3 linked regions of the Drosophila melanogaster genome follow. The protein of the gene in region 2 interacts with the protein of the main gene of each other region in a pairwise test. Each region holds a gene or a part of one and is shown on either strand. Other genes may lie near its edges.

Region 1 (9,577 bases), on a different chromosome or scaffold from region 2:
CCGGCACTGTTATTGTTGTTTTGTAGCTGGCTTACCACCCCAATCCCCTCTCTCTGGAAAAGTCCTGGGTTCAGGTTCACCCTCGCTGTTTGGTTTCCATTTGATGCTGATAAATTGTAAGTACGCCTGGGTGGGCAGCGGGGTGTTAAGGATTCGCACTGCGGAGGAAGTTGCATACATCGCATAATTTGATAAAATATTGCACGCTTCGCCCTTTGTCTGAAATTATTATTATTTCGCTTCTTTTTTTATTTTTGGTTGTACGCAGAGCGCATATGATGGGCATTAGATGTAATCAATAAGAGCTCGACGCAATCCATTCAGTTCGGCTAATGGATGAGAAATCCTATCAAAGTGGCGAAATCAAATTCTGTGCGTTACAGTTTCCTTTTTTCCGAGCCACGTTTTGTGTGCAAATCGGTAATAATTTAGAGTGTGATGGCTTTCACGGGAATTACATTAAAACAAAGCGAACCGCACAGTATTTTGGGATTTATTCCAAAGCGGTATACTTTTGTAGAACCTATACTAAGAATCTGTGGGTAACTTGCATCAATATGAACAATTAAAGATGAAAATCTGAGCAAGTTACGTCTAAGGTTAGAAAATCATGGACTTTTATCAATTTTTGCACACAAAGCCGACATCAAATCTTTCCTTTTCTGACATACCAATAAAACAAAATCTTCCAATTGCTTTTTGTATTTTGCCTTTGTTAGCTTAAATGGGCCAAGTTTATCTTGGCTTGAAGAACTTGCGGCAAATGGCAAATGGCGAAAGGGCATCAAGCCTGTCAAGCCGGAAATGAGCGATAAATATATCTTCATTCGCTTCTTATTTTGAACGCAAGTCGGCAGCGATTTCCCCAGCGTACAATTGGCACATTTTTTGTATTTCGTTGACGTCTGCCAATAAAAGTAACAAAATAAAATATGGCACTGCCAGGAGTGCGTTCGTGTGTGTGCGTGTGTGTGTGACTGTGGCCTGGGGATCGGAAGTGCTACCTTGAAAACGATACGCTGGGGAATCATTAGGCGAACCGTCATGGCTGCCATAAATATTGCCAATATAACGAAAGCACATCGATAATAAGGTTAGGAAGCCATGCTCGTATATCCAGGAATCAACTGAATCTCCGAAGAGAGGACAAGCCAGGGCGGAGGGCAGAAAAAGCCTCTTCATAAATGTGCCCAATTGGTTTTTCAACAATAAAATGCTAATGATTGATTCACATTGCCCCATGGAGTGCCGTTAGTTCGAGCCAAGGCCCCACAGAGCCAAGGATTCTATGGTTTTGTCTAATTTGCGCATACCCAAACATTAAATTGGGGTTTTCAGGCTTTTGCATTTGTAATTTTGCCTGACGAAAAAGTCAGGGTTGTAAGTTGTCTAAAGCTCGAATGAAAGATACCTTAAAACTAAAGTTCAAAAGCATTTTCCATGATATTTACTGTGATATATTAAAAAACTGCATTAATAGTTAAAAAGTACATTGAATAATTTAATAAAATTAGTTAACAGCGTCACAAAATGAATAGAGCCACTTATGTCCATACCCGCGGTGGCTTAGTTCGAGGGTCATCCATTAACCCATGACAACCCTTTGACGGATCACGAGGTACGAGCCAAAAAATCCCTGGGCTGGCCATTTACAATTGGTCCGCAGTGCGGAACCTAAGCTAATGATGACTGGCATGCACAAATGTACAAATCTTAATTATGCAAATCACGGTCGCGCATAAATTATGCAAATTATAATGAAATTCCTCATTGCCTTTGCCGGACCTGGGATCCGGGAACCCGGATACGGAACAGCGACAAATGCCCATATATATGTATATGGATTGATAAAAATGTGGCCATAAAATGAAAAAACCGAAAATTTAAATTTCGGCTGGCCCGGGGTTGAAAAGTCGAAATGATTGTGTTGGCCGTAGCTGAAGCGCCGTAAATTGCAATGTAAATGCTGCATATATAAACTGAATTAGTCCCAGAACAATTACAACAAGGGAGAGTGCACTGCGATTGCAAATATACCCGATTCCGATCCCGAGCCCGAAACCCAAAAAAAAAAAAAACTCTCACAATCACGCAGCAAATGGTGCATTGCCTAGAGGGGCTGTCCAGATTCCGGATTTCATTGAAAATAATGGCATACGGTGACTGCTGCCCCGAACATCTGACACAATAATTTTCCCTACGAAAGGAGGGAAGCGCAAACAAAGGCCAAATGGAAAAGTTGCCAGCGCAAATTATTAAATTTATCATGCGCGAAGTCATTAGGTCTGTCGCCCGTGCTCGTAGTTTGACTTATTCTAAGGACTAAACGACTGCAGGCAGCTCCACGCACACACACTCCGCCACTTATACATAAATGTCCTGCGAGGCCCGAAGTGTGGAAAGTCATTAGTGGGCATTGCAGTTGACAGGAGGATGGAGATGCTGGCTTTGGATAATAAACATCTGCTTTAGCTATGGAACTTGTAAAATAACAAAGTTTATAACTTTAAAAGAGGCATCTTCGAAAAATTATTTCAAATTTTGACTTAACAATTTACAAGTCGATAAAAAAAAGAATGTTCACAGATTTTTTCGATTAAATTTTATTATTAAAAAAATTCTCTATTGATTGATTTTAAATATTTATCAGAGCAGCACTAACAAAGAATCTTCATCGGACGACTTTTTAAAAAAATGTTTGATTTTCATGATAATTTTGTTAGGTTGTCATTTAAACAGCGGATTTCTAAATATTTCAAAAAATATTTCAATTGAAAAACACTCTTATAATACTCTTAATTGAAAAATGTGTCCTTTTATATTTAAATTAATAAAAATATACCCACACCCAAAGATTGCTTAAAACTAATAAATACAATCAAATAAATAAATATGTGGCCTAGATCTGCCTAGCACTTCCTATCATTTTCCATACCTTTTTCTAGCTTATGCCTTTGCCAACGAAAATATTTGGCATGTGCCATTTATGGCATTGTTCCAGCTTTGAACAATGCGATACCATAATTTCCAGGCAACTCGCAAACGCACAAACTCGCTCACGTAGAGAATGCCATGCAGATGCGGCATCCTCTGAGCTATGCTGTATATGGGCATATAGGCGAAATACTAGGATGCACGGGCTATGGACGGCTATTCGTGGTCCTTGTTCCTCGTTCAACCCCCTAGGACAGGAATCCAGGACTGGCCAGGCGGCCCAGGATCAGCAGGCAGTGAGCATGTGATTAGATTCAGTTTCAATGGAAATTGAAATCACAGACAAAGGAGCGGACCCGGCGGATTCAGGGTGCGAGGGGTGGTGATGGGCCATCAGGGTTGAAAAGGAGCGAAGCGATAAAAATCCTGAACAACAAGAAAAGTGAATTTTCGGACAGGCAGGGCAAAGGCATTAAAAACTTCATACACTTGTAAAAAATTTGACTGCACTAAATAATATTCAACAATTAAATGCAACTTTGAGAGATAACAAAAGTTTTTGGTTTTCGTTACAATCAAGTGTGGTTATAGTTAATTATTACTTAACCAATTGAAAAATGCAGACTTTTATTTAATATACAAAATAATGATTAATAATGAATAGATTATTAATTAGTATGATTTTATACCATTTTTAAATGCAAATATGTAATTGTTAACTTTTCAATAGCAGATTAGATTTATGTTAGAAATTATTATTATTTTGTGTAGGGTATATCTGATGCTATATGTTATGTTTCAAAAAGGTTTCGATCATTAGTAATCATTTTTTTTTCTTAGTGCTGAAACTGTGACTCATTCACCTTTGTGAGTATTGGTAATAATCGTGCTGTATGTATTGGTGTGGATGCTGCATTATGCGAAGCCCAACCACTAAACGTCAACCACCGGCGTCGACACCCGACCCACATTTTATATAGTGGCTCATAATATTCCTTCTGCAGAAAGAGATTAACACCAAACGGCGACGGTGGCGTCGGTGGCAAAAAGTTTATAATCATCCTCGCTGACAGAGCGAAAGAGACGGGCGATTGGAAAGCATAGGCGGAGGCAGGGAGAGAGAGAGAGAGAGTGAGCGGAGAAAATCGGAAAATCGTTATGCGACTACTATAACCCACCACAAAATCGCGGTCGTCTCTGTTGTTGCCGGGCACCTCACACTCGCGCATCGATTCCGATTGCGATTCAGGATCTGAATTTTTTGCCTGGTTTGTGGTGCGTGCGATTTTTAAAAATGTTTAAATCCGCAATTTCTTTCTCCGTGCTCTGTGCTCTTCGTCCCCTTCGTACACCGGCGAACTTGTGATTTGTGGTTAATTTAAATTAATAATCTTTTAAGTGTGTCATGAATTAACTGCAAGTTAAATAAAGTGCTGCGTCGATTTTGCATATTTTATAATCCATTTCGTTGGGTTAATAATTGCCAAATTTATTATTTATATATATTGACGTATAATTTTAAAGTTTATTGTTTTCTGAAGTGCTGCGCTCCTAAATAAATTTAATGCCGCTAAAATTGTATTCGCCATGAAACATCATATTAAACCATCCCTTAAATTGGACTACTACACAGCGCCACCTATGAAAAGCTTTGATAAGCTTATATTCATCTTGTTAATCTGACTACCGCGTAATATTTTGGCTTTGAATTTCCGAAAGGCTTAACGATTATTTTGCTTTAATTAAATTTAAGGAATACCTGACAGACGTTTGCAATTTGTTAAACCATTTCGGGTTAAAACACAAAACAGATGCTCCACCTATAAAAAGCTTTGCTAACCTATTAAATACATAAAATTCCGACAGATGGCGCTACCGAACAGCTGAGCATACGAGTATTCACCCCTATTTTTTAGTTTTCTTATGCAACCCTGCATCATAATAACTTTGATTTGCAAGGACTACCCTAAAAGATTACACATCCCTTCAACCTTTTTTTCACAGCTGGAAAAGTCCCATAAAATACAAAAAAATGGATCCCTCGAATCTTGCTTTTGGTTTTCCCGGTCTCCCCAACCACGGACACATGCCAATACCTCCTACAGCCAATATGCTTGGTGGCCAGCATCCAGCACCCACCGCCAGCCCACCACAAAGCGTCCCCGGCCGTCGGACGCCACTTGGATCGGTTGGTCTGGGTGGTTTCTATGCCCAGGGAATGGGCATGTCCCAGCAGCCACCGACGGATGAGAACAAACCAGGGCCCAGTGCTCCGGAGAAGCCATTGAGTCCCACGGCCGCCGCCATCGCAGCCATTGCCATCAGTGGTGGCACCACCACGGTGGCCGTGTCCAGTGGTGGCGCCAGCGGAAGTGGCTCCAACAGTGGCAAGCAGAAAAACCGCCAGGGAAAGACGGTAAGGCTGAACATAAATGCCCGGGAACGACGAAGGATGCACGATTTGAATGATGCCCTTGATGAGCTGAGAAGTGTGATTCCCTATGCCCATTCGCCTTCTGTGCGAAAGCTGTCGAAAATAGCCACCTTGCTGCTGGCTAAGAACTACATTCTGATGCAGCAAAATGCTCTCGAGGAGTTGAGAAGGTAACGTAGTTCATTACCACGCTCAATAGGAATTATTAACATATATGCTTTTACTTTTAGACTTTTGGCCTATATACAAAGCACCACGGGAGCAGCGCCACTGGATTTGGGTGCATTTCCGGCGGCTGCCAAGTTGCAGGCTCTTCTTCAAGGACCTCACAACGAACCACCGACTAGCAGCAGTTAAATAGGAGTGGGGGCCACCATAAACTATGGTTCAACTGATAAGCAATCCATTAATGAGCAATACTTTTAAGTCAATTGGAAAGCAAATGCCAAATACTTGTGTACTAGTCAGACGAAAGGAGGTTGATAAGGAGCCTCTTATCAGAGCAGCCAAGTGAAAATCTGTTCAGTGATATTTATTTTTGTCATAAGCATTTCTTATTTATGCATTTACCCAATGTCAACCAATATGTGTAAGATGAATATTACCGAATAAAGTATTATTGAAGTAGAAAGTATGTCGTTGGAAAAGGGTTTGGTCATTTAGGTTTACCCATCAGCACTGATAGAAGCCTGTCATTTTTCAGAATCATCAAACAAACAAACAAAATAAGAGTTTCAAATACTCAAACACGCCCAACCCAACCAACCATTTATAGTCATCAGATAACAAACATCAAAGAGCACAATCAAATTTAAAATAATATAATCTTAGATCCGTTTCAAGTCTTGGCAAAAATATTTAACATATAAATATACATACATAGTTGTCTGTATGGTTTTTGATGATTAAGCAAAAGCCGTTTAGCGGAATTCGAAATAAGCGGATTACAACTAGAAAACTAGTCGATGAATACTCTAAAAATATATATATATATAGACATATACGACATGGAGGACGGCGGCGAAGGCGATCGGTGCAAAATCGGCTGGCATTATATTATTCCGGTATGCCCAGGGACAAAACCTTGTTTTTGCCAGTGCGAAAAATGTGCTGCTTGGTGGGCAGTTGACCGATCAAGAAATCCTTCATCATTTCGATGGCATCCCCCGAGTGTCCTGTGCCATGGAAGGCGATGGTGGCATCTCGCCCTGCGTGATCCATAATGACGTCGTCGCCGCCGGGATGATCCCTTAGAAAGTGTGTCACATCGTAGACCCTATCGTAGATTACCACCCAGCAATCGTCGAAGCTGTCGTGCTGGGCCACCTCCTCCAATGCGATCTCCGGCAGATCTTCCAGTTTTAAACGTTCCTTTTTGCTTGGTACAACGACCACCTGATTACTGGACTTTCCATGTCCCAAGGGCACAATTCTCAGCGATTGCAAGAGGTTCGTCAACGCGGATGACATGTTGTAAGTATGCAATTACTTTCACTTTTACTAATATTTGATACAACGATTTGTAATGCCGCCCGATCACTTCAGACAGCCGGCAATCGATTCAAGTTGAGTTCTGCTTGGTCGGCTTCAGTTCCAGTTTTACTTGGGGTCTTGAGTGTCTTTCGTGTGCAGCCACCGGTACTGGAGTGTCATTCATGCCTTGGATTGTAATCGTTTTATAAATGACAACACGTGAGTCGATCGATGGAGCCGACAGCATGGTGATAAGACTTCGTGTCCAGAGAAGCGAAGCTCTTATAGATCGGTTTCTATATAATATATAATTATATATATATATATACATATATGTATGTTCAACCGAACTGGTTTGCATCTACATATGTTCATGGGAGGGCTAGGCATTGCACTGAGATTGCGAGATTTTGCAATAATGTTTTGTGGTCACTCGTACTCATATGAGTCAATTTCCGAATATGCTCGTAAAGACGAGCATAAATTATATATTTCTCTGTTAATCGGATTGCTCAGTGAGCTAATTACTTGCTACCTTATAAATTTAATGGGCCAGCAATTATTAAAAGGGAGACATTTAACGCGCCTATCAGCATTACAATTGATTTATTGGCACAAGTCAAACGTGCATCGGGCGAATCAATTACGTCTACTCGAACCGTTTGATCGCCAGTCATTAAGGCAATCAAAATAAATTTTGGGTTAATAGCCTGGAGTTATTTACTTTTAATACTTAAATGCGTTTTAAGTTTGCCAAAAATCACGATTTGTGTCAAGCCACGTTTGTTCTAAATTCTAATGGGAACAGAGATAATGACTTCAATATTATCGCTCACTACAACTTTGAACTTGAAATTGGAATGGATTCGGAAATTATGCCACGCTTTTGAACTATTTGAACCATGGGAATGATTTTAATTTTACATGGAGTGAGTACGTTTAATCAATAATTATTACGAAACTAAAGATCTGATGAAATTATTCAGACTATTTAATTTCCCATTTATTAAATTCCAGACAGAACGCCATTCACTAATTCTGTACATTGTATTGTATAAATAGAAAATATTGCAAAGCTAAGGAAATAGTTCAAACTACGCAATATAAAACATAAATATTATTCAAGTAAAAACAACAAGAAATTATTTCTAAATAATAACTTTTAAGACGTCACGATTCAATTGTTATTGATCATTTATTATTTTCAATTGAGTTCAAGTTTGATGTGTGGTTTTAACAAGATTTGGTAATCTAATATGCTAGCATCTCAGTGTTAAGATCAGCATTATCACGTTAAGTAATTAACCGCAAAAATATTCAAAGTCGTAACTGAACGAGCTCTTTAAATGGGCTAAACCATTTGACTTTGACTTTGAGGTTTACATGAACTAGGTGTATCCATATTAAATATCTATTGATGGTTAGAAAAAGCCTGCGAATAGCATTGCTAATAAAAGGCAGAATATATTTCAGTTCTAAGAGGTTATCATTCTAAGTGTGCGTGATTGCGTACATTTTTGAAAAAAACGCGAATCTTTCTTCGACAAGAATATTTGAATAATTGCCTAGTGTTATCAGAGTAGTCTAGAAATATGTAGGGGAAGAGATTATAATTTAGTTCTGGCGATTTTTTGCAAAAATGTTAAGATAAGGCTGAATAAGTACTAAGTACTTTCAAAACCATTGTCAAGTCCACGGACGGAATTAAAAGTGACTATTCATTGGTCTTTTCTTGTATTTGTATTTAAAGTTTATTAGCTATATCACTTCTAAAATAAGAATAAATCAAAGTTCAACGAAGTCCGAATATTATAAGTTATATTTTCTTTTTTACCATAATCAAATTTTGGCAAAACAGGGAAAAGAAGCAATACAAATATTTAAATAGATAACGACAAGAATTGCAATTCATTATAAATAAATACAATAAATATTTAAAAAGTATTATATAAATAAATCAACAGTCAGGATTATATGCATGTTTCTTAAGTAAACACAATGATTCTGAAAATAATATTATATGAGTCGTACAAATTTATATATTTCTTTTCATATATAGAAATAGGTGGCAACGCCCAATGTAACGGAAATGCTAAAAAGCTTCTTGAAAACATAAGCTTTTGGGAAAGGTTAACCGATTCGGATTTCGCGGGCTTTTTTCTAAAATTGGCCAGCTGTTGCTCTTTGGGAAGCTTTTGTATAAAAAAAGGCTTTTCCTTCCGGTAGTTGGATTACTTTTTGGCTAAAACGGGTGGCCAATATTTAATTATTACTTCCTTATATTGGTATATTAAGTATGCAAATAAATTTTATTTCGAAAGACACTTTTTTAAACTAGGGATTTTAACGGACATTTCCGTCAGGGACTCGAAGTTTCCCATTTGCATTTGTGTGGTGTTTCCATCAGCCCATCTGTGTTTTGGGTGCGAAAGTGTGAGTGTGATGGAACATGACATCGGGTAACTGCGTGTAATTTTTGGTGAACAACAACACAGTCGAGTTTCAGCAACGCTCTGGCCAAGTTGTTAAGGCGCGTGAATAAAAAAAAAAGCGAAAATTCAACCGCTTCCAGTTATCTCTTTACTTGGCTAAATTTATTTGATGTAATTGACCAATGTGAGCAGGGGATTATTGAGTTAAAAATTAATAAAAGCCCGCTAATACGGAAATTGCTTCGAAAACTCGTTAACAACACGCACAATATGCATGCCACTGTGTAGAGCAAATTGCGCATAC
Region 2 (12,950 bases):
AGGCAAACGCTTTGTCGCACACCTTGCACACGTAGGGCTTGATGCCACGGTGAACACTGATCGGAAAAAGAAAAGTTAGTTATCTCTGTCCCGAACTAGGAATATATTTAAATGGCCCATTTTGAGGCCTCTCCGTGAGAATAACATTTCTACTCACTTTTCATGAGACTTGAGAACACTTTCGTAGAAGAATTGACGACTGCAGAAGCTGCACTTATAGGGTTTGCTGCCCGTGTGGGAGTACATGTGCTTCCTCAGTTGCTCGCGCACCTGGAACTTGGCATCGCATAGTCTGTGAAGGCGGGATTAGGGTTATCGCTTTAATATGAAATTTACCGACTCGACTTACTCGCATGCATATTGGCAGATGCCGTCATGGCGTCTGCGATGCTCCATCATCCGGCCGCGCTTTTCGTAAAAGTTTCCGCAGACGTCGCAGATATAGCCACCCTTCTCAGTGCCGTCCGATGTTGTTAGGGAGTTTAATCCGCGACGAACCCGGCCGCGCCGCGCCTTCAGGCTTGCCTTGGCCGCCTCCTGCAGCGCCAACTGCTGCGATGGTGTCTCTTCGTACTGCTTCTCAGACTCCAGGACGATCTCGGTCTGATCGGAGTTCATCTCGATGGTGTAGTTGTCCTCCAAGTACTCGATGGTGTCGCCAATGCACTCCTGCTGATCGCTGGTGTCCACTTCCAAGTACTCCTCGTGCCCCTTTTCTTCCTGGTGCTCCTCTTCCCCGGTGGTGGTCTCCTCCAGGATGTACATCTCCTCGTCGCATTGCTGCTGCGAGCCGTCCTCCTCCTTGATCATCATCACATCTGATTCGTCCAGCAAGCCCAGTTCCCGGCAGTACTCCTCAATCTCCATCTGCTTGCGCAGCGCCTTCTCGCGAAACTGGTAGGCCATGTTGAGTTCGACCTTGCAGGACTTGCAGATGCCATCGGGTATGTGTTCTCTGTCGTTCAGCTGCATGAGGGATGGATGGATGAATGGTCAGTTCGCATTGCCAGCTCTAGCGATTCACTTACATTGCTGTATGAGACTCCCAAAAGTTGAATCAACATCTCGTTCGGCGATTCCTCGCCTTCCTCGCGGATCTCGTCTAGGCGCTGCAGTCGCTCACTCTGCGCCAGGCAGACCCGGCACGTCTGTGGGGTAAGCTCGACGCGCATTCTGGAATCCTGCTCGAAATTTAATTTAAAGAACCGCTCGCGTAGTATTGTAGTGTTAAAATTTGTGTTGCTAAAGTGTTGTGTAAAGCGACTGAAAAAAGAAACGAAAAGACATCGCCATTTTCCTTACCAGGGCTGCATAGCATCGGCGAACACGATGTGGTTCATTTTGCTGGTTCCGGGAAGCGGATTTTTGGTTAAATATCTGATAAACATGTTTGCTGCTTGTGACAATACATTGGAAATATTTGTTCCTTTAACCATGGCTAAACGATATGATATGATAACTGAAAGTATTCCCCAGTGTGCCTATAAACACAAACAACTTGTAAAATGAGAAAGAAAATATTAATACTTCAAATATTCAAATATTATGAAAACAATTATATATATATTTATATATTTCTTTCATATTTACGTATATTTAGATAGAGTAAAGAATTCAATCATAAAAATACCAACGTCTTACATTAAATATTATTTAAAAAAAGGCCTAATGCGCTTAAATTTGCCTTATCAATAGAAAATATTATGTCCAATACTGACAATACATCTCACCAAAGATTTAATTTAGCTAGGAACCAGTTCTCTATGGCTCATTTTTTTGACCAGTGGCGATAACGATGACAGCAAGATCACTAAAAGACTAGCGTTGCATGTTTATCATATACAAGCTAACATTGCGTAAGGTGAATCTGCAAATTATATACAAATTATTAGTAATTTACTCATTTATTTATGCGAAATCGCAAATACAACACCGTGTTTACATCCGAAAGCTCTGGCAAAAAAAGCACATTTCTTAATGCAGCCGTCTGGCAACGCCACATATTTTTCGAGACGCAGAACGCAAGATATTTTCTTATCTCTCGTTAAAAAATGGATTATTTCGGTTCAATCGGTGCGTATCTGGGAAAATCGCATGCTCGTTGGCAGTAAAGAACGCCACGCACTTTCACGTCCCACGCCCAGCGCACTCCCGCCTGACGGGAAAATGGGAAAGCAACTATATCTGGCATCCGTATCTTCGTCCGTCGCAGCCGTCAAAATGTTCGTCGCGCCAGTTATCGACTCGGCAATCTCCATCTCCTAAGGCACACACACACTCAATAGAACGCAGTCCAGCACTCACACAGGCAGCCACCTACGTAACCTGGCAGCGGAAGCGCCCTTAATCTTGGCCAGAAACCACAGCAGGCAGAAAACAACGAGGGAGCAGCAGCAGGCGGAGGGAAACGGAGGCGCCGCTAGCACTAGCACCTAACATGTCCGAGAAGCACGGCCAGCTGGGTGCGCAGTGGACGAAATCAGCGGCGCCAGCAGCAACAACAGCACCAGTCTCCAATTCCATTCCCATACCTCAACCGATCCCTGTGGCACTACCCCTCCAGAAACCCAACGCCAATCCCTATGGGAACTGCAGCCTACAGCCCGCGGATATAGTCTACAGCGCAACCAGATTTCAAGGACCTGCTATCCATGCAAAGGGCTCTCCTTTGACCATTACGCCCGTGGGCCCTGTCGGCGGAGCACCTGCCTCTGCCCAGATCTCGCCCACGAGTCACACCCATGTACCTGTACCTGTAGCCACGCCCAGCGGCTTTGTGCCGCCTCCGTTTTCCAATGCCACCAGCGCCAGTGGAGGTGTCTCCACTTCCGTACTTACTCCGAATCCCTTTGCCACGGCGAGTGCAAATGCTGCTGGCCTGGCCTTTGCCAATGCCTTCAGCTTTAGCACAGCCCAGCAACTGGGTCTGGGCAAGATCATGCACGCTATGGGCGGAGCTACTGCGGGAGTGCCATCGGCGCCAGTACCAGTCACCACGACTCCAGCGACAGCTGCTCCTTCGACCCCAACAATAGCTGGTCCACGGCATCCGAACGAGGGCGTTCCAGCGGCCAGTGGAGTGATAAACTCCACCATTGCTGAAAACGTAATGAATGCTTTGAGCAACTCCAACTCAGCGGGATCAGTTCCCAGTGAGGAGAAGATGAGAAGGGTGCTGCAGGTGATTGAGACCAGCTTGGAGTAAGTGTTGTTTGAAGAATCCTATGTTTATCCTTGCTAATTTGTGTGCGTCTTCCCGTTCAGCGACAATGCGAAGCTGCAGATTTCACAGATTCTAGAGCGTGTCTCGGGACTAAAGCCCATTGAGAAGCTATTCCTCTATCTTCGTTTGCCTGGCGAATGCGCAGACACCGATCCGTTGAGGCAGCCACAAAATCCACTAGGAACGCGCTCGGAGATTAACCATACCATTAATTGGGTGCGTTCCCATCTGGAGCACGATGCACAGGTCTCCATACCAAAACAGGATGTGTACAATGATTACATGTGAGTTCTTTTCATTCTTATTCAAAGCATTATTGAAACTAAGACGGTAACAGTGAAAATGTATTTCATTCATTTTTCGCTTGAGAAGTCTAAATATGTATTGTATATACAAAAATGCTGCAAATCAGTTGAATAATCATACTATTACTAGCATTTTTTTTTTAGCATAGCCCTAAAATTAATAATTGGTTTATTTCACCATTCATTTATAGAGCTTATTGCGAACGCCTCAGCATCAAACCTCTGTCCACAGCAGACTTCGGCAAGGTGATGAAGCAGGTATTTCCGGGCGTTCGTCCTCGGAGATTAGGGACGCGTGGAAACTCTCGCTATTGTTATGCGGCAATGCGGAAAACCACCAAGCTGACGCCCCCGCAACTGCCGCAGCTGTGCAAGACGGAGCAGATCGTAGCGGGTGATTCCAATTCGGACCCGAGTCAGCTAACTAGTGCCTCCAGTTTGGGTGGCTTACCATCGACAGGAGGTGACTCTGAGTGCTGGGATGTGGTGCGCAGTTGGGCAGAAAAATTGCTAAACACTAAGCTAGAGAGCGTTGCGGATCTAAGCTCCCGTATCAAGAGCAACAATGCAACAGTTTCTACAAAAAAATACACTCCTCGGGAGCCCAAGGAAAAGCGAGTTTTAGCAGTAAGTATTAAAATATTCCCTAATTAGAGAGTCCTAATGCAGTATTCTTTAACAGGACATTGGACCTTTGAAAAAGCGGCGCAAAAAGAAACGCAAGGGATCCACGTCCTCGGAGTCCAGCTGCAATCAATTGGTAACTGGCCAAGACGCGGGTAGCAGCCAGGAGGCCAGCGACGAACAGATACTGAAGATCAAGCAGGAGATCATCGACTCACCCATTCATCCCCAGCAGCCTCCAATAGGTTATCTACAGCAGGTAACGCCCATGAACCTAGCCACAGATCAGCGAAGCAGTAGCGCTGTCCGCAACCTCACGCCCAAAATCCTGGAGATGGGCTCGCCGGCCGTAGTACTCACCCAGCAGGAGGTATCCCCCACGGGCATCGTCATAAAAGATGAGGTGGAGGACTACACCTCTAATATTTTCTGCAAGAAGGTTTTGAAGGCGCAGCAGACAAAGGGATTCTGGGCGAATTCTCCAAGCAGTGGGACAACGAGCGGTGTTGGTTTACTGGTTCCACCTACGATCACTACAACCTCGGCCACACCGCCACCGCCAAACTCTGAGACATCCCCGGTTCCGGGACCTGGACTTTCCATGGGCCCACCCTCACAGATGATGAGCACCAGTTCGGTGAGTCCGTCGAGCACTGTGGACACCACACCTAAAGTGGCCTCCCGAAACCAAATGATGATTCTGAGAGCCAAGCGTTTGATGGCAGCGGAAAATGCCGCTTTGGCAGCCGCCGAAGACTCTGGATTGCCTGAGAATCTGGGACTGCCCAGGGAGCGAGTGATAAGCATCTGTAACATGGACAAGCATGAGCTGGATGACTACTTTCTACCAGGCGAGGACGAGGAGAACTCCGAGGAGCCCGACAACGAGCTGCTCCAATATTTTCAGATGGGAGACGCTGAGGAAAAACAACTGAATTCCTTGGATGCTGCCGAACAGAACAAGAATCCACAAGAGCCACCGACGATGGGCTCTGCACCGGAGGCGATGCCCGCCCCCGGACGCGGAGCAGCAGTCGTCGCCGCTGCAGCAGCGATGCTGGCGCCGGTGCCGGCACCTTCGATGTTGCCCGCACAGGCAGGAGTGGGTTCTGCCTCAGCGTCTCTGGCCCTAATGTCAAAAAAGCATCAACAGCAGAACCAGCATCAGAACCTGCAATTGCAGCGTTCCAAGCAGCTGCCGCTTATCAGTAACAACAAGAGAAAGATCAGCCTCAGCAACGCCTCCAGCAATGGTAGCAACAAGAACTGCATTTTCCTACCAATTTCACCAAACACCAATGGATCAGTGACTACACCAACAGCCACAGGGTCGTCGAATCCCAGTCAAAATTGCTTCGCTAGTCCCGGGTTGACTCGGATGAAGCAAAGACCCAACTTGTTGAGCAAGCAGCAATCACTTGACTGCGACAACCGGGATCCCATGATAGGGGCTCATCGCAAGGGTCGAGGATATGTGTACAGCTACCCTACAAGCACGTCTGCCTCCGCACCACCGAGTCCATCGATTCTTCCCCAATGGATGTGTAGAAACTGGTCGCTAGGAGGCGGCAATATATCCAGCTTTGCAGACAGCAGCCACAGTGCTGATCCGCTGGTCAATCAGAACTCAATGGACCTGGAGACAAGTCTGGCGCTCACGGGAGAAAATGAGTTAGATACATCGGAGATGCAGCGCTCACAATCGGTGCCGTTGTCACAATTGCAACGGAGAGGCAGCCAACAATCGCCAAGCTTGAACTTCTACTCGGAGAACAGCAACAGTCAGCAGTCTGCGCCTCTAAAAGAAACAGGATTACTGTACGAGGAAGTGGAAGTAGACTCGCTTCTCTCAGCGAATTTCACCAGAAAGTTTAACAGCATAACCCAGCAAACAGCAACAACCTGCAGCTCCTCGGCGGGCTCATCTTCCGGGTACAGTAGTGGCGGCTCTGCGGGAATTGTTTCGCGATCAGTGCCCTCAACTCCACTGCCACATCAACAGCAAAATAGCCTCACATCGTTGAATGGAGGCGGTGGTGCAGCGTCCAGCGGAGGAGGTGTCATGGGAATCGGAAATGGGGGCAACTGTGGCGTCGGAAATGGTTTCTTCACCATCTCTGACTCGTTTAATTGGGAAGGATCTACGTCCAATAACAGTCAGTTGGGTTACGCACACTCCTACAGTGCCCGCAATTCACTAGACATATCCAAGTCTATGCCAACGACGCCCATTGCAACTCAACGTTTCCGATACAGTCCGGCGGAGGTGCACCGCGATTTCCTCATAAATGGCAACACCATCGATAGCTTACCGTCATCTGCCTTTGCAGGAGGAGTTGTTCCGACCGATCCTACGCTGGCACTCAGCACGGACACCCTCATCGACGACAGTGCCCCGAGCAGTGCAGATGTGGTTGAGGCCATGATTGGTGTCACAGGCATACTCGACGATTTTTAGAATTTGCATGAAGAGAAAGCCCAGGGGGAGATCGAAATATCAGAGCAGCAGGAGCCGGATGCGGTGGAGGAGAACGAGGTTCAGTCAGCTGCAAAAGAGGATGCCAATGTGGTGGCCTGTCTGCTCCAGCATGTGGACCAATTGTAAATCCCACTATCATCCGCCTACTGCCGTATTGATGTCTCGTTTGATTAGTTTGTGTGTTATATATTAAGTAGTCCTTTATTATTGTTCCTGTTCCGAGTATATGGAATTTCTGTTTTGCCTAGTATGAACCGAAACTCGATATAATTCAGAAACTGGTTCATAAGCCTCTTGACGTCCCCCGCACATGAGCTTTCTCTTCGTGCCACGCGCTAGCTAAGAAACCCTCAACAAAATCCAATCTTCCCTCTGTTTAAACTAATCAACAGCTTAACTGTGCCTCTTATTGGTTTCAAAAGTGTCCAACATCATTAGAGGTGTGAGCTTGAGCCGACTTCTTTAATCTAACGTTACCCTCAGGCCTTGTTGTATGTATGCAATTGGCATATTGTTATAATTACTAAACAATAACATTAACACGCTGATGACGATGGTGGGGCAGCCAGTCCGTTGCTGCCCCTGCTGTATGTAGTGCATAGTTTTATTGTTGAACAACATTACAAATGAAACGAACTTAAAGTCTGAATGAAGGAAACGTGTGCAGCGGTTTTAAAAACGAAACAAATTTACAAAATGTATCTGTAAACGAATGTACATCTAGAACTATAGAACCAAACCTCGGCGCTCGACGAGTTTGTCTTCCTGCGATCCTCGGTTGTACATATATAAGTATATATATCTATATATTTCTAGAGGGATTTCCACATGGATTTTAAAGTGGATCGCAGGGAGCTAGACTCAGTTCAAAATTGTCAAATTTAAATGTGTGTTTGTATGGTGTTGTAAGGTATCGAGAATAACGAGCTTCGTCAATTGTTCATCGACTGGTTGGGCTCCTAGGTGTAGTCCTTTGATTTTTCTTATCCAACTCCGATCGACATATTCTATTTGTTACACTATATCTTTATCTGTCAATCTTGAAAACATTTAATTCTTCTATTAGTTGTAAGTGTTTGTTTGTTATAACTGTTTACTGTATTTGTTTAATTCGCGTTGGTCGGTCCGATCTGCGCTTAGTACTTTAGTTGTCCTGTAAATGAATTTCGCACATGTGTAATTCGAGTCTTCTAATGCCTAAATTTCTTGTTGAAATGTCGTTTCTTGTGCCCAGTTTACTAAAGTCTTTATTTTCGTTTTAGCGCTTTGAACAAAGTTTAGCCTTAAATCTTCTTATTCATAATTCACATTGCAAATGAATGTTAATTTGTTTGTAAAACAAAGTAAAACATTACCGCTAAGCTATTTTTGTTTTTTTAAAACATGATTCCGCTTCTGTGACCAGATGTTTTTAAAAATGTAAAGAAAATAAATCATAAATGTGCCTCAGGCTTTATTGTAAAACAATTATATACCACAACAAAAATATAGATACAACCATACAAAGATGCATTAAAAATAAAAAGATAGCTACGTATACACACTTAAATAGATTATTAGAACGTTATACGAGTATAATTAAATATACACTCATTTACAAAAGGCAAGGATAGGGAATCAAATAAATTCGTTAGAACCTCAGATTAAACAATAAATGCATATTTATAGTCAACAGGAATACCAATACACAATAACCAGAACAGCACCCAGCCTAAAATAAACATTGTCAGCTGAATTCTAAAACTAAAAGCAAAACTTTTAACGATTATTTATTTTTAAGCAGCGCCACCTACCCCGCATACCGCTTTGAACAACAACCAACAATATACGAGTAACAATAGCAATAGTCCTAAGGTAAATAAGTAAAACATATTGTCACCGGGAACACTTTAGAGGAGATATATGCAATTATACAGAAACAATGCATTCAAGTTAAACGAACCAAAACTGTACTTTTTTATAAGATATTTGAATGACATAAAATACAGATAACAGAAACGAAAATGAGAGTATTTATTGGCTTGGAAAAATGTCTTGTTTTTTTTTTTTAGCTGTAAGGATATGGATATTCATTCTATAACCAAACACATTCATTGTTGCAACTCACAAGCTTGAAATTATTTCGAATTTAAAAGATACCAGGACGACATGCAGAAGGATTAAAATGAAATGTTTGGAATTTAAAAGTAAATTTATACAAAATATAATACTAAAATAGTATAAGGTGCGGCTTTTTATACCAGTTACTTGAATTATCTTTTGAACGGATTTCAAAAAATGAAGTCTCATCTGAGGCGAATTTTCTAGATTTTTTTACCCGATGCTCGCAGAGTAAAAAGGTACAAGTATTTATCAGCTAGAAGGAAAAGTTTCTAAATCTTATTGATCAAAACCACAAGGCGAGTTGATCTGTCCATATCCGTCCGCTTTTCCGTCCGTTTGTCGGTCCGTATGAACGTCGATCTATTGGCAACTATTAAGCCTTTTTTATCTTCGAGTCCGACCCACATAGCATACACCAGGATATTCGTTAATTATATGTTAATATTTTTTATTAAACGTTTAGGTTTAAAATAATAATATGCAATTAATATTTGTTAAATATACATAATAATACCTTTAATTGTAATATGCGTGTGTGTGCTCACTTAATGTTTTCCACTGTTTCTTCTCCATTCGAGAGTTTTACTGTTACGTTCTTTCTTTGCCGGTTTATACATTTTACATGTAAATTTAACTATTTAAGATTATATTATTTTATATGCATTTTACATGTTATTTATTTACTTGCTCAATAGCGCCACAATAATATTTCATTTCCTACAACTTTTGTTGGGATCAGTATAATAATTTACGTATAAAAATCATTTTGCGCCTTGATGTACAAACTTCTGTCTTGACTGTATGTAGGTATTATTTTATTTACTCTTTTATTATTCATATATATTACACTACGCTAATAGCACATTTGAAATTCCCTTTATTCGCTATAAGTACTGTTAATCATATAAGTTTTATAGTTCTTTATGTTTTGCTAAATATTTGTGGGTTATGCTTGTTTATTAAATGCTTGTAAATCATTTATTTCTCTGTTTACGGCTTAATTGGTTTCCTGATATTTTTAGCTCCCACACTGCTTGCTCGTATATAATATATATGTATGTATATATCTTGTATATGCCTGCTATAATATAATATAATTTATAAAATTGTTGTTTATCTCGCTGAGGTGGAAAATTCTTTAATTTATAAGGTTACTTGTCGTTCTGCTTTTGCTGCTGTTGCGGTTGCGAATGCATGTTGCATGTTGCATGTTGGTTGTATACGTTACTAATTCCACTACTTCAGTTTAGTTTTATTGTATTGCGATTATTATTTAAAGTATTTGTATATCCACTGCTTGCTACTTGAACACCCCAGTACATCGAATACCTATCTTTCTACACGCGAGCTGAAATATAAAAAAATTAAAAGTAATAAAAACGCCTAAAAACTTTCTAAAGATAACTTTAAATTGCTTGTGCCAAACTTGGATATACTTTCTGTATCGTAAACGTGCTGCTCAAAAATGTAAATACATCGCTAAGTCACTTAGCGCAAAGTAAATATTTGCTACACTGACTTTTTATTATCCTTATGTACATTTTATTAATGGAAGCAACTTCCCTTCAATCTATCTCGTCGTCTCAAAAACTGGAAAGGGTTTGGAATTTTAGGGTTGGTCCCAATTCAATCTCGCGAAACTCGAACAGCATTTTTGTTTTACTTTTCTAGAACAAAACCAAGCGAACAAGAAGAAATAATGAACACAAAACTAAATCGGTGTAATTAGTTTACAATTTTATTTTGAAATAATAAAGACAAAACATTCAACTTATGGACAAACGTAATTAAACAATAGTTCAAATTAAATACATAATCATAGTAATTGGTAATCGGTACAAAGAAATCAGTAACATTGTTCATCAGCGCAGTTGCGTTTTTCCGGTTCAACGTTATAAAGTATTACGAAAAACGTCCCTAGACTAATTAGAATTATTAATGAAATAAAAACACACTGGTGAAAGGGGAGCTGTTGGATAGTAATTATCAAATAAAACAAGGCAATTGGAGAGCTGGGCCTTACAATAAGTTAGCTAGTCATACACAATTCATTTAGTTAAAATTACAAAAAATCTTTTATCAAATACATTACAATTCCGAGGATCCGGGATCCGATCCGTCTGGACCCATTTACAAATAATCTGGCTAAAAGCATGAAAGCTTTGCATACTTTTCTGGATTTCTCTCTGTCACGCTCCATTCAGCAAATTGAACTAAATTAGTTTACTAAATTAATTACTCGTTGTGGTGGCTGAGTTGTTGTTAATGTTCATGTTGTTACTGGCGGCCAGCAGCTCGCCCGTTTGGCTCCGACTGTCCATTGACCAGTCCCAGTCCTTGCCCTTTGGCCGAAATTTGGATGACTTGTGATGGTGCTGCTGCTGATGGTTTAAGCCCGTGTGGTGCGGTGAAGACTTTTCCTTGGGTGACTTTCCCGATTTTCCCAAGAGCGGTGCAGGTGCTCCGCCCACAGTATTGGGAGCATCCAAGTTAAGTGGCCCATTGCCCGCTGCATCTGCTGCCGTCGGCGGTGCACTGGAGTTGGAGTAGGCCAGCAGTTCATCACAGTCGTACTCCCAGTTTCTTTCGCAGAACTTCTTTTTGTAGTGCTTTTCCGAACTGGTCTTGGACTTGCGCTGGTACTTCAGAGGTATACCACCTAAGTCCCCGGACACGGGTGGTCCACTGGCCAGTGGTGGAGTGGCCACACTGGCTGCACTGGGACTGGGAGTTCTGGGCAATCCAACGTCCGAGAGTGGCGGCGACTCGATGGCACTGGGATCCACTGGCGACACGGTCTTAAGGGAGCTACCAGCATGCAGCGAGGAGGATGCCGAGGATTTCATGCTACTGTCGCTCATGTGATCGGAAAGATGGTGCTGCTGCTGTTGGTGCTGCGCCTGCAACTGTTGCTGTTGCTGATGTGGGTGGCTGCCTCCGCTGCCGCCAATGCCAATGTTGTTGTGCTGGGCATGATGGTTGTAGAGGCTGTTGCAGCTACTACCACCGCTTCCTATGGGCAGCTCCAGCTGCGAGGAGCTGGACGAGGTGGACAAAAATGTGCGCACTGCATCTGAGTTGCTGCTGCTGTGCGTAATGCCCGAGTCCGGAGACGTGTTGCAACTAATCGAGGCCGGCACGGTATCGCCATCGATGCTTCGCCTGGTCTTATCCAATTCAGTGCTGGCGAAGGCCACGAGGCGGTCGAAACCAGAGCTGACTCGATGCTGCCAGTGGGTCTCATCATCAGCGGCAATAACATCGTCTGTGAAGAATTAGGATAAAATATTAGTTTTATCTCGCTAACGCGACCAATACTAGTGCGATTTTTAGATTTCGTTTGGGTGATGGTGATATTGTGAGTTTGAGTGGATATTTGGAAAAGTCAATTGGAAAGGGTGATAACGATACACTGGCGATAACGCGTGTTGTCCTAAGCTTTTTTCATATTTCATTATCTTTTTGGTACAGCTGCATTGCGCGTTGCGTGCAGGAGGGTATGTTCTTGTGTTCATTTGTATTAATGGGTGTTTTTGTGTTTTATTTGTTTAGTGTGGTGATTGAATGTTGAAACAAAGGAGTTACGTAATGAAAGTAAAATATATAAATCATAATTAAAAGAAAGAAACCAATTAGGCGCAACAGAACTTACCTCATGCTCGTTAAATTTTCATAAATTTTGTTCGGGATTTTTAAGTATATATATATATATATTTTTTTTTTTTTTTGGCATATAAATTCTGTACTTTTAGTAGGTAAATTATTAAACGCAAAAATTAAAAGTTGTCTTTTGTAGGTTGTTTCTGATTTGAAATCTTTGTTTTTCATCAGGTTTTTTGTACTCTGCTTATTATTTATGGTTATTACAAGATCGTATCTTCGCCCAACAACAAACATGTTTTCGGTTTTGCTTTTTGTTTAGTTTGTTTGAGGAATTTTGAGGTATGCAAGTCAATCAATCAATCAATTCAATTCAATTCAATTCAGTTCAATGCAAGTCAATTCAATGCAATCGATCATTGGTTATTGGGGTATTGTGGGGCAACTACTACTACTATCGGCCATAACATATCCGTTCAGATTTTGATTACTATGGGCAGCTGATAGTTTCGTTGGGCCAGACAAAGTCGTGCGAAGGCGACGTCTGGGATCGTAATTAGTTATAGTACGTTGCGTTGCCAAATCGTTAACTGTATGGAGTAGAGCATAATAGAAG
Region 3 (9,864 bases), about 23 Mb from region 2:
AGAAATATATGAATAATTATATCAAGAAAATTTACTTTGAATAGCTTATATGTTTCAATCATATTTTTATTATCTAACTTCAAAATATTCTTGTTTGTCTTTTCTTTTTTAAGTCATCCTTTAAACACGATTGTCATTATACTAATTATAATCACTTAAAATCAATTAAAAATTATTACGTTAATTATTTTTTGACTGTGTGTAAGCCAAGAGGGTGAAATAAAAAAATTAAAATAGAGCAAAAGAGCGCTGTCAATCAGCCAGCCAGCGATTGGGCCCACATCCACGCAGATCCACCCACCCACCGAAGGCAATCAGTGCCAAATCAGAACTTTATTTATTTGCTTGTTGTTTGCCAAACATTTACGCCATCAGCAAAACGACACCCGAGAGCTCGTTAAATGCTCAGCCATGCGGATGTAATTCAATAAACGAGCGTTCTGCGCCATCATCAACACCCCATCGTTTAGTATTGTGTGTGTGTGTGCAGTGGAATGGCCCTGTATGGGTGTGTATCTGTGTGAGGCAGCCGCAATTGCCACAACAGCCGCTGTGACTAAATGACTGACTGACAACCGCAGGGTTTTGCAAGGGGATGGTTTATTTACTCGGCGAACAACCCCTCGAAAAGCATCGCATCCCCAGGATCCACCATCTCTTTTCGTCCTGTGCTGTGGCGTTTATTGAGCCGAGTTTCGCAACAGCCTCGTCCTGCGTCCTTCGGAAATTTCTGAACTGTCAACATGTCAACTGTTTGCTGGTCCGCTAAGGTTATTTCTGTGGGTGGAGTGGGTGGCTGGGGTGGCTTGGGTGGCTTGGTTGGCTCTCTCGCTCTTTTCGCTTTTTCGGCCTGTTTAAGCGATTTAACGCATCGCAAGGATAATGAAATTTTGATTATGCGCCGCTTGGCTGGTTGTCCTGGCACAGTGCCGCCCTCTGTGGGGCGGATTGCTGGCTGGGTCGCTATGAAATTAGCGTCGTTTAGGAGGTCCTTTGAAAATTGGGGAACGGAATTAAATTCGGCGAGCTGCTAATTATCGTTGGAAAAGGATGTTTGTGCAGCTGTATCTCTTTCTGAGTTATTTAATTAGAAGAGTGCTTAAAATGTTAATGACTTAGTGCCTTTAGTTTGAATACGAGTAAAAGAAACTATTAAATTTGATCATTCCATTAATAAAACAGAATCTAGCGCTGTTCTCGTTTCCAGCTGGTATAATAAACAATTTGCCGACTGGGTAATTGCTCACTCTCGGATACAAACAATTATGCAATTCAATTCGGAATTAATTGCACAATAAAACACCAAATTCTCATTTAATTGCCTGACAAAAAAGGCACACAAAGCAAAGCGGCAACCCACATAAATATGCAACACCCACACACAAACACACACACCCACTCAATCATGGCCAACTACATATATACGTCCAAATAGCCCCACCTCTCATTCCGCAGCCATAGCTTCTACAATCAAACTGGAATCGGAATCGGTCGGCGGGATATATAAATTCGAAAAATTATGAAAAACTATCAAAACATTTACATACGCTCGTTGCGGGGAAGGAAAGTGAGGAAAACGACGTGATCTTTTCGATCCACGCACTTAGTGTTGGGCAGCAGGCTTTTTATTAGCCAAACCTAGCTAGTTTTCAATATGTTTCAGTTAAAAGTTTTCAAAAATTAACAGAATCTGTTCTAAAGCATATTTCTGAAGTTATTTCAAAGTGAACATAATATTTCTTGTTTGTTGTTTCACTGCAAGACATAACAACTTTATTGGGCAAACATAAATTGCACATTTCTAGTCACATAAGGTGAATATTTTTTTAATATATTTTTTAATATTTTATTAGCTAGTTTTTAAAATCTATCGCAGTCATCACTGCACGCACGCAAATCGGCGGCCATTTATCAAATGACCAACTTGGCCGAAGCGTGGACTTTGTTGGTGCTTTTGTTATTGGCCGACTTGCTGCTGCTTTTGCCGGTTTCGTTTCATCTCGAAGTGGTGGGATCGAGAATAGGTGGGGGGAGTGGAGGGGGCTGGAGCTCGCTTATGATGTTTATTGAAAAATTAATTTGCGCCTCGTTGTTGTATTGCTTTTTTTCGGCGCTCATTTGCGTATTTCAAAGCGCAATGAATAATGATGGTGGTTAAGTAGTGGAAAATAAAAGAAGAAACGCTCGACGTGCTTGGCCTGAGAAATTAATATTTGTAATTGGCTATAATTGTTTATGCCAACGGCACAAAGTATAGAAAACGAGACGCAGACAATGATATTAACGAGCTGAGGGGCCTCTCATCGCATTTTGCCGCCATTTCGAAATGTTTAATTGAAAAGAAAGCGGAATTGCCGGGCATCGTAATGAAGAGCTCAAGTTTTGGGAAGTTGGAAAAATTTTAATCAGTCAAGAGGGGCGTTGGAAAAGTGGTAAGAGGTATATCAAGTGTTAATTGAATGGCTGGGAAATGTGAGAAGTTCATAAACGAGTTTACTGTCTTGGTTTCTTTTAAGTGTAATTAAAAACGATTTCGGAAAGAGTTTGAAAAAAGTTCAGAAATTATATAAAAATATTTCTAAATTTCACCCAACCCATTTAGGCAAGAACTCAAATTAATTGGCTAGAATTTCCCCAATCATGCAGAGTCGTTTCATTTTCAGCATCGTTTGCAACTAATTAAGGCAACCACACAGCCATTCGTCAACTGTTCTAATTGAGCTCTTTATTTTCCACCCACTGGCAATTGTCATTAAAATCCTTTCACCAACTTGCCGCCCGAAAAGCCGAGCGAACCCGCACAATCCGACGCCCATTTCCCATTTTCACAACTTGGTCCTTCGAGCAGCGGAAAACAAAGGAGCAGCTGAACAATGGCTGGCAAAAGTTTTCAAGCCAACAATTTCACATAATAATCCTTAAAATGAGTTTAATTTGTAGAGCGAGAATTATAAAGGGTGCGGTATTCCCGCTCCCTCCCTCACTCCACCCGCCAACCTTGCAATTTATGGAGCTTATGGGGGTTGGCAAAATTCTATATAATCCTGCATATTTCACATTTATATGTATGTGATTGATTCGGCCGGGTTCCCGGGACGTTCGATTTATGTGGACCGATCCGATTTTTATGGCTTATCTCCTGAGGTGGAGCAAAAGGGAAGAAAAAACATAATTTCCTGACCGAGATTGCAGCTTTGCGATAATGCCGCTCCACCCGACATTTGATGCTTTTGGGGCCCTGATAATGATGGGCTTATTATTTATTATATTGTTCTTGTACGCTAAGGACATGTAGGAGTGCCAATTAAAATTGAAAAACCGCCTGGTCTATATATACATACATATATATGTACATATTAGGCGTACATAAAGCTTAAAAAATCACGCCAATTTGGCCAAATGAAGTCATAAACGATAAAGAGGGAGATAGAGGGAAAATGGAGATGGAAGGAAAAGCCAGAAAACCAAAGTGGAAATGGACAGGCGTTTGCCGCCGCTGCTTGTTATAAAATGCTAATACGCGCAGCAGCTCGAAAAAAAAGTGGAAAAACGCTTTGAAGATTGAATTATTCAATAATAATTAGGCGTGCGACAGGGACGGCTATACTGCGGGGCAGCTACACCATCTCTGTCTGTACGGCAAGAGTGCGGCAAACTCACCACACTGAAGCGAGAGCGAAAGAGAAAAGAAGGCGGAACAAAAGTCAGAAAAGTGGAGAAATACAAGACTCACACCGGAAAAAAAGAGCGAGCGAGCTAGTCTCGAAACCAATAAAAATGGTGTCGCACGCGGTGCACTCCACCACGGGAGTGAGAGAGAGGCACGCTCTACACAGCCGGTTTCCCACCACCAATCGTCGAGTGCGTCGGTGTGAGTGAGTATCTGTGTGGCAGGCAGCGGTGCATCCGAAACTGCGACCACAGTTTCAGTCGCAGAACAGACGTGATCTCAAGAGGACGTGTCTCTCTCTGGAAATAAATAGCCCCTGAAAAGATACAAAACGCCGCGTGTGACAGTGTGTGTCTGTGTTTCCCAAGCGTGTGACGAACGAGCGCATTAATTGAAAGATAATCAAAACAAATTAACAGCAGACCATGTCTCAATGAACCAATTAACCGGCGCACCTAAAGCACAGTATTAACGAGCCACAGTTACACAAACGATCGAAAGGCTTTATGTTAAAGCTCAGCCCAGCGAGCATGACAGTTACAGGTCTGCGCCAGACGATGACCAGTCCCACGGTGCCGCCGAGCAGTAACACTCCCGCGGGTAACCTCATCATCACCAGCAGCAGTAGCAACAGCGGCAGCAACAGCGGCAGCAACATGAGCAGCGGCAACATGACCAGCAGCAACCTGACCAACCTGAGTCCTAGCCACCCGGCTGGCCTGAATGCCCTGGCCAGTCCCACCTCGCCGTCGGCACTGCTGCTGGCCCATCAGCAGCATCTGCTGCAGCAGCACCAGCAACACCAGCAGCAGCAGCAACAGCAGCAGCAGGCGGCGGCGCTCCAGCTGGCCGCAGTGCATCCGCCGGCCCACCATCTGCACAAGACCACCTCCCGACTGAGCAACTTTAGTGTGGCCTCTCTCCTGGCGGACACGAGGCCCAGAACGCCACCCAACCAGGCGGCGGATGGACCCCAGAACCTGACCAGTTCGGCGGCCACCTCGCCCATCTCCCAGGCCAGCAGCACGCCGCCGCCTCCGCCGGCCAGTGCGGCCGCCCAAGTTCCCGCCAACACCTTCCATCCCGCCGCCGTCGCGCACCACGCCCACTTGCTGCAGGCCGCCCACGCGGCTGCGGCGGCACATGCCCAGCACCAGGCGATGGCCGCCCAGCTGCGCCAACAGCAGCAGCAGGCGGACGCCCGGGCCAACTCGCCACCCGCCTCCACGAGTTCCACGCCCAGCTCCACGCCACTGGGATCCGCACTGGGATCGCAGGGCAATGTGGCCTCCACTCCCGCCAAAAATGAACGCCATTCGCCGCTGGGCAGCCACACGGACTCCGAGCTGGAGTACGACGAGGAGATGCTGCAGGACCACGAGGCCGATCACGACGAGGAGGAGGACTCCATTGTGGATATCGAGGACATGAACGCCGACGACTCGCCGCGCTCCACGCCCGACGGCCTCGACGGCAGCGGCAAGTCGCTGGAATCGCCGCACGGTCCGCCGCCGGGCTCTCACATGCAATCCACGATACTTTCCCCGGCGGCCCTGGCCTCCGGTCATGTGCCCATCCGCCCGACCCCCTTCAGTGCACTGGCCGCCGCGGCGGTGGCCTGGACGGGAATGGGCGGTGGAGTTCCGTGGCCAGGAACCAGACAAATGCCGCCCTTCGGACCGCCTGGCATGTTTCCGGGAGCAGGATTCGGTGGAGGTAAGTGTCGTTATCCAGTTCTTTGTGGGGTTTTTGTCAGCTTGTTTTCGGTTTTTGTACTTCCTAGAGGGGAAATGATAAACCTTATCTGTTACATGTGCTTAACTGTCCTGTCCTAAGCGATATTTTAAACTCATTTGCAATGGAGGATTCAGCATGGGCATAATTAAATAATGGGAAAATAAAAATATATATAGGAGAGAATATAGAACTCAAAAGGTTTACTTCAAAAAAAATAAAAACAACCTCAACTCTCTTTCGAAAATATTTTCAATTTAGAGCCTTAACATCAAAGTAAATATGAGTGTATATATAGTTACATTTCATATATTTATTTATAATTAACTGTAAACCCATAAACATGAACTTCTGAACCCGTGAACAATAGAAATACGCGAATTCCGCTTGGGAGCAAATTCCCCATTAGCAGCCAGCGATGTGTATTCAAAAACGATTTATTTAATGGAGGAATTTCAAACCACCCACCCCACCCCTCATTGTTTTATGCCCCATGTGCGGTGGCAACTTTATCTACACCATTTTGTGTCGCATTTTAATTCAATTAACTGCCGCCCCTCGCCTTAATTGGCATCGATGGTGACTCTCCGCTCCTGGTCGGACGCGAGCTGCGGGTGCTCCATCATGGCCACCTCGTCGTCATCGTCATCATGGCTATGGAATGGAAGTGATCGTGACTGCAGTTTGTAGTCAAAGTGCGTGGCAATTATTGCGGGGCCTTAAATAAAACAATGAAAACTGCCTGATTGCGCTGGGCCCATTATTTGATGATGATGATGATGATGATGGCTGATGGCTGATGATAGTCGCGTCGGTTCTGATTTGACTCAATTGGCCACGTCTGATTATTCATTGCACTCGCTGGCCAGCGGCGTTTTTCGGTGTTTTCCGGTCTGACAGCCAGCCAGCCCCCCATTACCGTTCCCGAATTGGAAAATCTAATAATAAGCGCGTAAAAAGCGGACTGTCTAACCGACCAGCCAGACTAATTGAAGCGAGTCTGGCTGTTTAACTGGGCGATCTCTATCTGCATGCACAGTTCACACTTTGCCTGCATTTCCTGGACAAAAAGCACCGCGGGTCGTAGGGAAAAACTGGTGGAAAATCGGGGAAAACACTCGACAAGTCACACTTTGATGCCGGACTGACATGTGAACTTTACTCGGCCATCGCGAACTCTGCGTTTCCGCTCCTTAAAGTTGCTCAAACACATTCGAAAAACTCGGAAAGGGCGGTGCAAAAACGGTGGGCAAAAAAGTGTAAATTTGCTTTTTATATGCAGAACAGCAACTATTGTTCCTGTTTTTGCTGCATATGCTCGGGTTTTTCTTGCCACTACAAAGCATTGTTTTATAAAGCTGTCGGCTGTGTTTTGAAAAAAAGGGCTTCAAATGGGGTGTTGTATTAGGAAATTTGGGCTTTAAAGTAGGTTAGTTCGAGTATTACCATATTACCGCCTCATTCAAACTATTAATACATGAAATTCCAGAACTGCATCTCTAAAAGTGCTTTCATAAATTCCAAAATATTTCAAAAGGGAACTGTTCAACAAATCGATATAAATCAATCTCGATGTGGGCCATCAATTCACCGCCCTTCATCAACCACTTGAGCTATCTTTCGTTCCTTCCCTATAAAGATGCCGAGATGAATAAACTATTCCAAACATTTGCCGCTTATTTTGTCATTTGGCTGTCAACTGCTGCATGTGTATAAAATACAGTCGAACAACTTCATTTCATTTCATTTCGTTTCGTTTCGTATCATTTGGCAGCTGTTTTTTTATTTTGTGTTGTTTTCTGGCCCTCAGTCTCGGTTTCAGTTTCTGGTTCCTGTGTTCAGCGTGTCTCATTAGCGCAGCAGGTTGCTGTCTTCTGTGGACTGATGATCCCCTGTTTTTCCGGAGGGTTTCCCTTCTGACCTGCGCCGCTATCTTCTGCGGCATTATGTCAAGTGTTAGGTACTTAGTGCCTTCGGCAAATGCTTAACTGGTAGATACAGGTTGTATCTTTTGGCTACCGTTTGTCGGCTACTTCATGGACTATTAAATTAAGCTACCATCGATTAGAGGGAACACACACACACACACACATAGTCAGTCGGCTTGAAGTTGTATGGTTTTTTGCCCTGCCATTTGATTAGCATCTTCGTGTTGCAATATGGGGAATTCCCTTTGTGCCTTCATAATTTAACTAATTGCAAGCGCAGTCGAGTCACGTATGCTGCACATGCCACCCATTTTTGCCCCCTTTAACCCCTCGACGGCCCCTGTTACTCAGCCACCACGCATTGCAGCTGCAATTCTTGGCAGCCATTATAGAAATTAATTTTCAAGCTGAACAAACGAGCAACAACTTGGGAGTCATTGCATAAATACATAGAGCCAGGCACACACACACATGCACACTATGCTTTATGGCAAGAGAGCGAAAGAGAGAGGGCGAGAAAACCTGGCCAAAACGGTGGGTGTGGCATGTCAGCAACGCCCACCCAAAACACGCAATTTTCAACAGCAACGGCAGCAATTTAAACGTTGACAGACGGCTGCTGGTTGGCGAAAAGCGAGAAGAGGGTTAAGGAAGACCCGGTGCTGTCGATAAGTGGGCAGCGAGGGGTTAAGGGGGCCGTTTGCATGCGTTTTAACACCATTTGCAAGGCTCCAAGCCGAAAGAGTCAAAAGCTAAAATAATATTTGCATTCTGCACGCCATCTAACGTGCATACGCTGTACTAAATACACACATGCAACACAGCAACGTTGGCGAGGGGGGGTGGTGCCTTCGAGGGGGCGTGTGGCGGCGCAGACATTTTGATGTATGTTTTGGTAAATAAAATTTATTTGCATTAAATTACCAGGCCAGACAAAGCGAAGGTGCTGGTGCTGCGAATGGTGATGGGTTAAACGCGGTGGCAGTGGGGTCGTTAAGGGGGGGAGTGCTAAGTGTGTGTGTGTGTGTGTGTGTGGTGGTGTGTATCTGTTAGGTTGAGAAAACATTTGCTAAATATTTGTAGACAATTGGTAGTTCAACTAATTTGAGCTGCCTGCTGTTGGATGTTGCTGCTGCTGTAGATGTTGCTGCTGCTGCGCTTGTTGCTGTTGCCGTTGCTGTTGTTGCTGCGCTGCACCTGAGTAATTAAATAGCGTTTGGAAGCTGTCATAAGAGGTGGCCTCACCCAGCCCACGGGCTATCCGAGCACTCTTATCTTGCCCAGAGGCAGCGAACTTCATTGCAAAACAGTCCAAATAGATACTATGTGGCACGCAATGTGACAAGATTGCAACAGAGTGGGCAGTGCAACAGCACTGAGCGAAATAGTTGTAATAATACTAATCGAAGCAGTCCGTGTAAACTCATCGCTGGCAACTGGTTCTTGGCACGCTGCCCACTAATTAATTGACCCGTTTAACCGGTGCGCTAGTTGGCCAACTGAGCTCCCTGCGCCCAGGACCTTCGGCTAATCATTCAGTTAGTGGGTAAACACCTATTTGGAGCTAATTAAAATCGCACATTATGAAATCGGCCTGAGGTCCCAAAGCGATTGCCGTTTTGACCGTAAGCGTGTAATTGCATTAGCCATCCGGCCAGCGATCTGTCCAATCCATCCACTCCATCCACTGCATCCAATCCTAGTGCACTCCATATTGCTCAACGGTTTTCACTGCAAAAACGCTACTGGATGTACAAGACGTGGATGTGGATGTTGCTATGGTGCTATGCGAAAACGCTTTAATGAAGAATTAATTGCCAGCAATTTGCACCGCACATCAATCGAGCCTTGTCACCGCCGGCTATATAAAGCGATTGCTTTGGATATTTGGTATTGGTATTGCTGCCGCTGCGATCGGTACGCGTAAATTTCACAATTGCTTGTTGCCTGTCTCATTTAGCAGCTGTTGTTGCTGCTGCTGCTGCTCGATGGTCTTATACGATGTCGCGGCTACAATACACCGGAGAACTCAAATTAATTGAAAATCCATTACAAACATAGGCTAAATGTCACAATTGGCGTTTGTGGCATGTATTTTGCGCTGGCAATGGCGACGTATTGCCCCAGCCGCAGCAGCAACAGCAACAGCAACAACTCGCAGCAGCAACAATGCCTATAAAAGAGCAAAAAGGCGAAAACGAGTCTCGCACTCTGGTTTCAGCGTGCGTCTCCATCTTGCCCCTCGAGCCTCGAGTTGTTCAGCTTTTCCGCAGGTTTTGCAACATGCCACAGTCAGACGGTGGGCGGGGCAAGGGGGCGTCGAATCCAGCTCACTTGCTATGGAAACCCCATTCCAACAATTTAGCGACAAATGAGCAATTAATTTTGAAATAAATGTAAAGCAAACCGAATCGAAACGAAACGAAAAGAAGGCAAGATTGGAGCACGATACTGCATACAAATAATGGCAATGCCACTGATTGCAATGGAAACTGATTAATAATTAAGAAGGATTTTTATTAATTTTTAAAC

The links.
Region 1: the proteins of CG9727 (region 2) and Oli interact in a two-hybrid assay, tested with the Drosophila melanogaster proteins (one large-scale study listed by BioGRID).
Region 3: the proteins of CG9727 (region 2) and Dr interact in a two-hybrid assay, tested with the Drosophila melanogaster proteins (one large-scale study listed by BioGRID).

Annotation. Positions count from the first base shown.
Region 1 is NT_033779.5:17,585,274-17,594,850, forward strand, and holds Oli (olig family), read left to right. Parts: upstream 1-3,910; 5' UTR 3,911-4,306; exon of another isoform or gene 4,307-4,938; 5' UTR 4,939-4,966; coding exon 4,967-5,538; intron 5,539-5,598; coding exon 5,599-5,725; 3' UTR 5,726-5,994; downstream 5,995-9,577. Other genes in the region: CG6870 (uncharacterized protein), read right to left, coding at 6,425-6,838; Sytalpha (synaptotagmin alpha), read left to right, coding at 7,051-7,060.
Region 2 is NT_033777.3:6,445,509-6,458,458, reverse strand, and holds CG9727 (uncharacterized protein), read left to right. Parts: upstream 1-1,782; 5' UTR 1,783-1,861; intron 1,862-1,951; 5' UTR 1,952-2,437; coding exon 2,438-3,201; intron 3,202-3,264; coding exon 3,265-3,507; intron 3,508-3,719; coding exon 3,720-4,155; intron 4,156-4,210; coding exon 4,211-6,610; coding exon of another isoform or gene 6,611-6,757; 3' UTR 6,758-8,515; downstream 8,516-12,950. Other genes in the region: Zif (Zinc-finger protein), read right to left, coding at 1-56, 158-292, 350-966, 1,029-1,172; gpp (grappa), read right to left, coding at 10,966-11,999.
Region 3 is NT_033777.3:29,552,460-29,562,323, forward strand, and holds the start of Dr (drop), read left to right. Parts: upstream 1-3,926; 5' UTR 3,927-4,176; coding exon 4,177-5,386; intron 5,387-9,864. UniProt on the Drosophila melanogaster protein: Plays a key role in the specification of proneural and promuscular cluster formation. Required for the specification of dorsal and lateral muscle progenitor cells. Regulates development of peripheral nervous system derived from lateral neuroblasts.